Saccharomyces cerevisiae S288C: one gene and its partners. The protein of the gene in region 1 interacts with the protein of each later gene in a biochemical or structural test. Each region holds a gene or a part of one and is shown in the gene's direction. Other genes may lie near its edges.

Region 1 (3,874 bases):
CCGCCCGATCTTCCGGTATATCAACCTGAGCCTTTGTGTAGAGCGTGTCGTTCAATTGGTAGTGCAACAGGATAGGTTCATCGCTCTCATCGCCCTCGTCGCTGTGATTGCGCAGACTTTGGCATATTTTTAATGTGTTTTCCAAGTCCGGGATTCTAGTCTTCAGCTGCTTTATCGTAGCCAATTTAGATTCCTGCATAAATTTGTACTTAGAAAGCCGTTCTTGGAACTTATTGAAGCACAATTCGAAGTCGCTTGGGTCCTTAATTATTTCGTTGACATTTTCGATGAATGGAGCCTGCGGTATGCCTCTGGCATTCTTTTCCGTGGAGTTGAACAGTGTGTCCATAATAACCGTAGTATCTGTTATATATGTGCGTACAGTTTTCTGCAGTAAATGTTGTCTACAATTTATAGCCTCTACAATAGTGTTAAACTAGATTTTTTCACTTTCTTTTCTGACCAGTTCTGCAAAATGATCGAAGAAACGAAACAAATCATGTGTTACCCGTCCTGCACAATCATGAGTGCCTGCGGTTTCCATATTGGAACGGCACCTTCCTTTTTTGGAAGTCACGTTCCTGCAGCGCGTTTCTTTTTTTTTTTTTTTTTTTTTTTTATTTTTCGGTTTTTTTCGCACGTTTCTTTTTGGTGAGCGAGAAAGCTCGTTGCCTCCTAATATAAAGGATGAGATGAGATGAGCAGTGCCGCAAATGAGGGATGTGTTTATTTGTTCATTGTCGTTTTGCGATTATCTTCGTTTTCATGTGTTAACTCATTCATTCATTCATTTACTCGTTCACGCACACGCAGCAGTTATTCCCTCGACGAGCGTTCACTTGTATCATATAGCATAGTTTACGTAGCAATGAATAAAAGCAGCAAGGCATTTCAGGTACCGAATAAGGTCATCACCAAGGAGGATATTACTCCCTTGTCCAGATCGCACACAAAGAAAGCGGACACTCGCGGGACAGCAGATGGTAAAAACACCACAGCCAGTGCAGTCGAGGCCACCCCAATCATCATCACCACTGCTCGTTCGATAGATACTGCCGGTTCACTATCTGAGAACGCCACCGAGGACGATGGCACCCAAAACGGAGATTTACACGATGATGACGATGATGACGACCTCGAAAGTACGCTCGGCTATAGTTCTGAGCCTGATCCTCTCTTCTCCCCATGCCACCAGCCTTCCTTCACCAACAGCACATTTAGTTACAGTGCGGACAATGAACTACCCATGGAGGAAAATCACAACAAGAATAATTTCCACGATAGCAGCGAGAGCAGTATCTTTCTACCACAGATACAGCAATCATTCTTTTTCGGCGACAATAGCAAGAGTGACGCAAATAATACGGACTTCTGGAAGGAAGTAAATGGCACTGCAGAAGAGGCCATTTGCCTGCAGGAGACAAGACAAAGAAAATGCTCCCTCGTGGCTCTGCATCCAGGCGACGCCACCACGAGTTCGAACGACACATTGGGAATAGAGGACTTCATCAAAGATGATATCAACAGTGCTGAAGCCATGGAACCCTCCCCATCTTCATCACCATCTTCCTCCCTTCTTGATAATTTGGACTACAATATCAAGTTATTGTGCTACAGAGACAATGAGGGCAAGTTCACCTTGAAAAAAAGGAAGTTTTTGAAGAATTCCCTGCGCTCATCCTCTGCAATTTCTAAAAAGTGGAAACCCTTGTCTAAAAGAGATAAGCTGTTGAAGAGGGCCATAAGAAGAAAGAGTGGTGTTTGCCAGACGTTATCAGCTGGTTTTGGTATCGGTGAATTCATGTTGTAATAACAGTACTATTAACAGTACAATAAATAGATTCTTTTTATACAGTGTTAGGGTAACTTGTTTTTGTAGGATTTGAAAAATATGTCATTATAAGATCTATATCTTTTACTATTTGGACAAGTTGGCTAATTTGATAGGCAATTGAATAAGAAGGAACTCTGTATCTCAACACATCACATGTCTACTCAATCCGGTATAGTCGCAGAACAAGCCTTGCTGCATTCTCTGAATGAAAATCTTTCAGCAGATGGCATCGTCATCATTATAGCCAAAATTTCCCCTGATTCTACCTCGGTACATCAAACGCAAGTCGCACGTAGCTTCGAGGAGCTGGTACAGTTGGCATCACAAGAAAGAGAACCGTTGTACATCTTCTATAAGCCGGAAGGGCTTGATAAGTACTTCTTTGTGTCATTCATCCCCGATGGTTCTCCGGTAAGATCAAGAATGCTTTATGCCTCGACGAAGAACACTCTGGCAAGACAGGTAGGTTCAAACTCTTTATCCACCGAACAGCCATTGATCACAGATGCACAGGACTTGGTGGATTTGAAAAATTTTGATAGTGCCCGTCCTGCTGGCCAGAATAAGCCCTTGACACATGATGAAGAAATGCAAATCGAAATCAATAAGCAACAGGCACTTTTAAGGAAAAACACATCCGTCAAGTTGGTTTCTCAGGACAGTGCTTCGCCTTTATCGTTAACTTTCAGGGTCAATTCTGAGAAACCTATCAATGAAATACTGGATAGCGAGGGTAAAAATTTAATCATATTTCAAATCGATCCCTCGAACGAAACCATCCAGATCGTGCAATCTGATACATGTCCCTCCGTAGATGAACTGTACATTGACTTGCCCGGGCCAAGTTACACGATTTTCAGGCAGGGTGATTCAAGTTTCTTTATCTACTCTTGTCCCTCTGGCAGCAAAGTCAAAGATAGAATGATATATGCTTCTAACAAGAATGGATTTATCAACTACTTGAAAAATGATCAAAAAATCGCATTTAGTAAAGTGGTAGAAATTGGCGATTTTGTGGAACTAGACAAGTCCTTACTTATGGCAACAAATAAAGAAGATAGCCTCGATCATGGATCCAATCCAGATCTCCCAAACAAAAGCAATTTGAAATTCAACAAACCAAAGGGCCCATTGAGGAAAAGAAGAACATAGAGATAGAAATGGCATCTATATATGTGTGACCAACAATACATACGTTTTTATTCTTCTAAATATGAAACTGAATGTTTTTCTAGGTTTGCTGGAATATATATTACACTGGCAAAAATTGTTATGCTATGCTATTTAATGTTCATTGTTTTTGCAGCTTGATAACCTCTCTTAAGGCGCCAAATGGATTTTTTTGGAAATCTTGATTGGTTAGGACCTGATTGAATCTTGCAGTTTCGTTAGCAGCCAATGCCTTTGCACCCTTTTGGTTCCTGATATTTGGCTGATTCTTTTTTATCCTAACAGAACCAGGTTCTATCTTTTTCAAGTTCATTTCCTTTGTGTCCACAAACCTTATTTTAGAATCCATGTCGATGTCATCATCGTTATTCATGTCTTTGCTACTATTTTCAATAATGCCCCGTAAATCCTTTTCTTGCTCCAAAGAAGTGAGCAGATCTTGCATTCTTGGTTTTAGTTCTTCTCTTAGCTTTCTTTTCCTACGTCTAATGGAAGATTTAGAAATACCATCAAAATTGGCAGCTATGCCATCGTTAAGTGTGGATTTCCCCTTCAAGTTAGATAAGAAAGTATTCTGTCTGTTAAGTAGCTTTTCCTTTTTAGTTTCTTTAGGTTGGTGCAGAAAGGCCCTTGGATCAGATTCTATGTCATAACTCTCGTCCAGAATGCCATTGTTCGCTACGTCTGGTCCAAAATTTTGACTATTTCTTGCACTTACTTTGCTTCTAAGCGTGTTTCTCTTCTTAGCAACCATTATCGCTTATCTATGCTTCTATATTCAATGGATTTCCTGTCTCTTATCTCTGCTCATCGAGTCTGTAATGCTTGAGTATGTAAAACATGAAAAATTTGCAGTGCGTCACCCCGTTC
Region 2 (3,333 bases), on another chromosome or scaffold:
TTCGTGTTATACCCGCCACTTTTGTTCTGCCTGATAATATATTGATTATACTGTGCTCGGATTCCGACCTCTTCTTTGTTGCAGAAGCCATAAGCTGAACTTATTGCATTTGCTCAAGTGCATTTATTATGGCGCCGCGCCGCCGCTCTCCAAAATTCTTGTCCTTCCTCGTTTTGCTGGCAAGGAGCAAAACGAAGAGGAAGGTAGAAAAGAGAAAATTTGAACAAACAGGGAAAAGGGAAAGAGAAAAAGGGACACTTTACGCTTTCCTCGACTAAGTCAAGCGATCGCTATCATCACATCCATTACACGCATTTCACGCATACATAAATAGGAAGATCATTTACAACAAGCAGATTATTTTCAAAAGACAACAGTAAGAATAAACGATGGTATCTTCTTTGCCCAAGGAATCGCAAGCCGAATTGCAACTGTTCCAGAACGAAATCAACGCCGCTAATCCGTCCGACTTTCTTCAGTTCTCCGCCAACTATTTCAATAAAAGGCTGGAACAACAGAGAGCGTTCCTCAAGGCCAGGGAGCCTGAATTTAAGGCAAAGAACATTGTTCTATTTCCGGAACCAGAGGAGTCATTTTCCAGACCTCAATCAGCTCAATCTCAATCAAGATCCAGATCGAGTGTTATGTTCAAATCCCCCTTTGTGAACGAGGACCCACACTCCAACGTGTTTAAAAGTGGGTTTAATTTAGACCCGCACGAACAGGACACTCACCAGCAAGCACAGGAAGAACAACAGCATACTAGAGAAAAGACATCAACTCCTCCACTCCCAATGCACTTCAACGCCCAAAGGCGTACTTCTGTTAGTGGTGAGACCTTACAACCAAACAATTTTGACGATTGGACTCCAGATCACTATAAGGAAAAGTCCGAGCAGCAATTGCAAAGACTGGAAAAATCGATCCGTAATAACTTTCTGTTCAACAAGCTGGATTCCGACTCAAAAAGGCTGGTCATAAATTGTCTGGAGGAGAAGTCCGTCCCCAAAGGTGCTACGATAATCAAGCAAGGTGACCAAGGGGACTACTTCTATGTCGTCGAAAAGGGTACTGTTGACTTCTACGTCAACGACAACAAGGTCAACTCTTCCGGGCCAGGCTCCAGTTTCGGGGAACTTGCTCTTATGTACAACAGCCCTCGTGCTGCCACCGTTGTAGCAACCTCCGACTGTTTGTTGTGGGCTCTAGACAGGCTCACCTTCAGAAAAATACTTTTGGGCAGCTCTTTCAAGAAGAGACTCATGTATGACGATCTTTTGAAGAGCATGCCAGTTTTGAAGAGTTTGACTACGTACGACCGTGCCAAACTTGCCGATGCACTGGATACCAAGATCTACCAGCCGGGTGAAACAATCATTCGCGAGGGTGATCAAGGGGAGAACTTTTATTTAATTGAGTACGGAGCTGTGGACGTCTCTAAGAAGGGCCAAGGTGTCATAAATAAACTGAAAGACCATGATTATTTCGGTGAAGTGGCCTTGCTAAACGATTTGCCCAGACAGGCCACTGTGACTGCTACAAAGAGAACCAAAGTTGCCACATTGGGGAAAAGTGGTTTTCAACGTTTACTGGGTCCTGCAGTAGACGTATTAAAGCTCAATGATCCTACAAGACATTAAGTAAAAAGGGGAAGCGATCTTAAATCCACATGAATTTCCTTTCTCTTTTTCTTCTTCTTCTGTTCCCTTTTTCTTTCTTCTTCCTTCAACGTCTACGTAAATATAATGTATAACATCTCCACTTTCCTTTCCCTTATAGCGTTATGTTACCTGTTTAAACTCTAAATTCTTCATCTACTACTGCTGTTACTACATGTATATATGTTCATTTTTTTTTTTTTTTTTCACCACGGAAAACGTAAAAATGAGAGCATTTGTAACAAATAAAGGAGAACTGTTCAATCAAGTGACATACAAAAACTCTCTCCAACTCTACAATCACCACCGTAATGTCTGATGCTCAATTCGATGCTGCTTTAGATCTTCTTAGGAGGCTAAATCCTACCACGTTACAGGAGAATCTAAACAACTTGATCGAATTACAACCAAATTTGGCACAAGATTTACTATCTTCAGTAGACGTTCCCCTATCCACACAGAAAGATTCCGCCGATTCAAACCGGGAGTACTTATGCTGCGACTATAATCGTGATATTGATTCGTTCAGATCGCCTTGGTCGAACACTTATTACCCAGAACTATCCCCAAAGGATCTACAAGACAGCCCCTTTCCCTCAGCCCCTTTAAGAAAATTGGAGATCTTAGCCAATGACTCTTTCGACGTTTACAGAGATCTCTATTATGAAGGCGGTATCTCCAGCGTGTACCTCTGGGACCTCAATGAAGAAGATTTCAATGGGCACGATTTTGCAGGGGTAGTGCTTTTCAAAAAAAACCAATCAGATCACAGTAATTGGGACAGTATCCATGTTTTTGAAGTTACAACATCTCCTTCTTCTCCCGACAGTTTCAACTATAGAGTCACCACTACAATCATTCTGCACTTGGACAAAACAAAAACTGACCAGAATTCTCATATGATGTTATCCGGGAACCTGACAAGACAGACCGAAAAGGACATCGCTATTGATATGTCCCGTCCATTAGATGTTATTTTCACATCACATGTCGCTAATTTGGGTTCCTTAATTGAGGACATTGAGTCTCAGATGAGAAATCTATTGGAAACTGTTTATTTCGAAAAGACAAGAGATATCTTCCACCAAACAAAGAACGCAGCCATTGCTTCCTCTGCTGAGGAAGCGAATAAAGACGCACAGGCAGAGGTAATCAGAGGTTTACAGTCTTTATAGAAATATTTACATGTATCGCTGGTATATCATATAAATACATACAGCAGCACTAAGTGGTAGAAAAGCGCTATCAAAAATCACTCGGAACGAACACTGAAGAAAAAGCGAAAAATCAAAAATATGACCAACGCTTGGAAAATTTCAGTAGCAATTAGACGAACCTCGCAGTCCTGTAGTAAAACGGATTAAGGGACTTCATATACTGTTGATACTCGGTGTATTGCAATTACCTACTAGGAGTTTTCTGAATAGGGACTTAAGAAGTCAAATATACAGACAAAAATAGGGGGTTGTAGAAGGAATATTTGATTCGAACTATGAAATGCAGGGTATGGTCAGAGGCTCGTGTTTATACGAATATCAATAAACAAAGAACCGAGGAATATTGGGATTATGAAAATACTGTAATTGATTGGTCCACAAATACAAAGGACTATGAAATTGAAAATAAAGTTGGGCGAGGAAAATACTCCGAGGTTTTCCAAGGTGTCAAATTAGAC
Region 3 (3,765 bases), on another chromosome or scaffold:
AGATCTTGGAACCCACTTCCCAGAAGATGCCTCGTTGAAGTACACGTTCAGTCTCTCCTTCTGGATATCGTCATGGCCGTGATATGTCCCATTGAAATCCAAACCGTGCTCACCACAGATAGTTTCCCAGAATGCAGCACCAATTTGGTTACCACACTGACCTGTCGAGATATGAATGATTTCTCTCATTATATTACTTTGTGGAGATTTTGCTTTTGTAGTTGTAGTAGCTGCTATGTCACTCCAATTGCCTCACCACTACTTCACTTAGATCTATTAAAGTTTTCGTGTTTGTTTTAGTTTTTGTTGTTTTTTCTGTTTTTTTCCTTTTTCCTTGTGGCGTCGCCTAGGTCACTGTACACGTATATCGTGACCCGGCGCCAAATTCCTGATAGTACTATTTTTTTTGGCCCATGGGGGGAATAAAGAAAAAGAAGAGAAGCCAGAACAAATTCAGCGATTAAGTGCACCAGTTTTGAGGAGGATATCTTTACTGTTAGGCCCAGGTTGAAATAAATAAAACAAGAAAAGCACTAATATGAATAGCGAGTACGATTACCTGTTCAAACTGCTGTTGATCGGGAATTCCGGTGTCGGGAAGTCCTGTTTACTTTTGAGGTTTTCGGACGACACATATACCAACGACTACATCTCCACAATTGGAGTGGACTTCAAGATTAAGACTGTAGAACTGGACGGCAAGACTGTAAAGCTACAGATTTGGGACACTGCAGGTCAAGAACGTTTCCGTACTATCACTTCATCTTACTACCGTGGTTCGCATGGGATCATTATCGTGTATGATGTCACTGACCAAGAATCCTTCAACGGCGTGAAGATGTGGCTGCAAGAGATTGATCGGTATGCAACCTCAACAGTGTTGAAGCTATTGGTAGGTAACAAGTGTGATTTAAAGGACAAGCGTGTCGTGGAATATGACGTGGCAAAGGAATTTGCGGACGCGAATAAGATGCCGTTCTTAGAGACTAGTGCTTTGGACTCCACCAACGTCGAGGATGCGTTTTTAACCATGGCTAGACAAATCAAGGAAAGTATGTCCCAACAAAACCTGAACGAAACCACTCAGAAGAAGGAAGACAAAGGGAACGTCAACCTGAAGGGACAGAGTTTAACCAACACCGGTGGGGGCTGCTGTTGAACAAGCGCGCCTCTACCTTGCAGACCCATATAATATAATAACTAAATAAGTAAATAAGACACACGCGAGAACATATATACACAATTACAGTAACAATAACAAGAGGACAGATACTACCAAAATGTGTGGGGAAGCGGGTAAGCTGCCACAGCAATTAATGCACAACATTTAACCTACATTCTTCCTTATCGGATCCTCAAAACCCTTAAAAACATATGCCTCACCCTAACATATTTTCCAATTAACCCTCAATATTTCTCTGTCACCCGGCCTCTATTTTCCATTTTCTTCTTTACCCGCCACGCGTTTTTTTCTTTCAAATTTTTTTCTTCCTTCTTCTTTTTCTTCCACGTCCTCTTGCATAAATAAATAAACCGTTTTGAAACCAAACTCGCCTCTCTCTCTCCTTTTTGAAATATTTTTGGGTTTGTTTGATCCTTTCCTTCCCAATCTCTCTTGTTTAATATATATTCATTTATATCACGCTCTCTTTTTATCTTCCTTTTTTTCCTCTCTCTTGTATTCTTCCTTCCCCTTTCTACTCAAACCAAGAAGAAAAAGAAAAGGTCAATCTTTGTTAAAGAATAGGATCTTCTACTACATCAGCTTTTAGATTTTTCACGCTTACTGCTTTTTTCTTCCCAAGATCGAAAATTTACTGAATTAACAATGGATTCTGGTATGTTCTAGCGCTTGCACCATCCCATTTAACTGTAAGAAGAATTGCACGGTCCCAATTGCTCGAGAGATTTCTCTTTTACCTTTTTTTACTATTTTTCACTCTCCCATAACCTCCTATATTGACTGATCTGTAATAACCACGATATTATTGGAATAAATAGGGGCTTGAAATTTGGAAAAAAAAAAAAAACTGAAATATTTTCGTGATAAGTGATAGTGATATTCTTCTTTTATTTGCTACTGTTACTAAGTCTCATGTACTAACATCGATTGCTTCATTCTTTTTGTTGCTATATTATATGTTTAGAGGTTGCTGCTTTGGTTATTGATAACGGTTCTGGTATGTGTAAAGCCGGTTTTGCCGGTGACGACGCTCCTCGTGCTGTCTTCCCATCTATCGTCGGTAGACCAAGACACCAAGGTATCATGGTCGGTATGGGTCAAAAAGACTCCTACGTTGGTGATGAAGCTCAATCCAAGAGAGGTATCTTGACTTTACGTTACCCAATTGAACACGGTATTGTCACCAACTGGGACGATATGGAAAAGATCTGGCATCATACCTTCTACAACGAATTGAGAGTTGCCCCAGAAGAACACCCTGTTCTTTTGACTGAAGCTCCAATGAACCCTAAATCAAACAGAGAAAAGATGACTCAAATTATGTTTGAAACTTTCAACGTTCCAGCCTTCTACGTTTCCATCCAAGCCGTTTTGTCCTTGTACTCTTCCGGTAGAACTACTGGTATTGTTTTGGATTCCGGTGATGGTGTTACTCACGTCGTTCCAATTTACGCTGGTTTCTCTCTACCTCACGCCATTTTGAGAATCGATTTGGCCGGTAGAGATTTGACTGACTACTTGATGAAGATCTTGAGTGAACGTGGTTACTCTTTCTCCACCACTGCTGAAAGAGAAATTGTCCGTGACATCAAGGAAAAACTATGTTACGTCGCCTTGGACTTCGAACAAGAAATGCAAACCGCTGCTCAATCTTCTTCAATTGAAAAATCCTACGAACTTCCAGATGGTCAAGTCATCACTATTGGTAACGAAAGATTCAGAGCCCCAGAAGCTTTGTTCCATCCTTCTGTTTTGGGTTTGGAATCTGCCGGTATTGACCAAACTACTTACAACTCCATCATGAAGTGTGATGTCGATGTCCGTAAGGAATTATACGGTAACATCGTTATGTCCGGTGGTACCACCATGTTCCCAGGTATTGCCGAAAGAATGCAAAAGGAAATCACCGCTTTGGCTCCATCTTCCATGAAGGTCAAGATCATTGCTCCTCCAGAAAGAAAGTACTCCGTCTGGATTGGTGGTTCTATCTTGGCTTCTTTGACTACCTTCCAACAAATGTGGATCTCAAAACAAGAATACGACGAAAGTGGTCCATCTATCGTTCACCACAAGTGTTTCTAATCTCTGCTTTTGTGCGCGTATGTTTATGTATGTACCTCTCTCTCTATTTCTATTTTTAAACCACCCTCTCAATAAAATAAAAATAATAAAGTATTTTTAAGGAAAAGACGTGTTTAAGCACTGACTTTATCTACTTTTTGTACGTTTTCATTGATATAATGTGTTTTGTCTCTCCCTTTTCTACGAAAATTTCAAAAATTGACCAAAAAAAGGAATATATATACGAAAAACTATTATATTTATATATCATAGTGTTGATAAAAAATGTTTATCCATTGGACCGTGTATCATATGATCATCTCTTCATCGCTTTTCAGTTTTATAGGTTTATGCAATTGCCCTTCTTGGGAGGATCTTGTAGAACCGCCATTAGAATTTGAGTCCGGCGTTTTGATACCCTTTTCCCCATGTAAATTGGTGCCCTCTTTACTCTCAAATTCGAAGAATTTATCAATATCTTCTATGCTCATACCCTTTGTTTCTGGGAACCAAATCAAAAC

What was found.
Region 2: the proteins of TWF1 (region 1) and CAP2 form a complex in vitro, tested with the Saccharomyces cerevisiae proteins (2 studies listed by BioGRID).
Region 3: the proteins of TWF1 (region 1) and ACT1 form a complex in vitro, tested with the Saccharomyces cerevisiae proteins (4 studies listed by BioGRID).

What each region holds. Positions count from the first base shown.
Region 1 is NC_001139.9:640,023-643,896, forward strand, and holds TWF1 (twinfilin TWF1), read left to right. Parts: upstream 1-1,987; coding exon 1,988-2,986; downstream 2,987-3,874. Other genes in the region: tubulin-binding prefolding complex subunit PAC10, read right to left, coding at 1-349; YGR079W (uncharacterized protein), read left to right, coding at 698-1,810; SLX9 (Slx9p), read right to left, coding at 3,126-3,758. UniProt on the Saccharomyces cerevisiae protein: Actin-binding protein involved in motile and morphological processes. Inhibits actin polymerization, likely by sequestering G-actin.
Region 2 is NC_001141.2:288,726-292,058, reverse strand, and holds CAP2 (F-actin-capping protein subunit beta), read left to right. Parts: upstream 1-1,969; coding exon 1,970-2,833; downstream 2,834-3,333. Other genes in the region: cAMP-dependent protein kinase regulatory subunit BCY1, read left to right, coding at 390-1,640; casein kinase 2 catalytic subunit CKA1, read left to right, coding at 3,151-3,333. UniProt on the Saccharomyces cerevisiae protein: F-actin-capping proteins bind in a Ca(2+)-independent manner to the fast growing ends of actin filaments (barbed end) thereby blocking the exchange of subunits at these ends.
Region 3 is NC_001138.5:52,760-56,524, reverse strand, and holds ACT1 (actin), read left to right. Parts: upstream 1-1,828; coding exon 1,829-1,838; intron 1,839-2,147; coding exon 2,148-3,265; downstream 3,266-3,765. Other genes in the region: TUB2 (beta-tubulin), read right to left, coding at 1-189; Rab family GTPase YPT1, read left to right, coding at 539-1,159; YFL040W (uncharacterized protein), read right to left, coding at 3,553-3,765. UniProt on the Saccharomyces cerevisiae protein: Actins are highly conserved proteins that are involved in various types of cell motility and are ubiquitously expressed in all eukaryotic cells.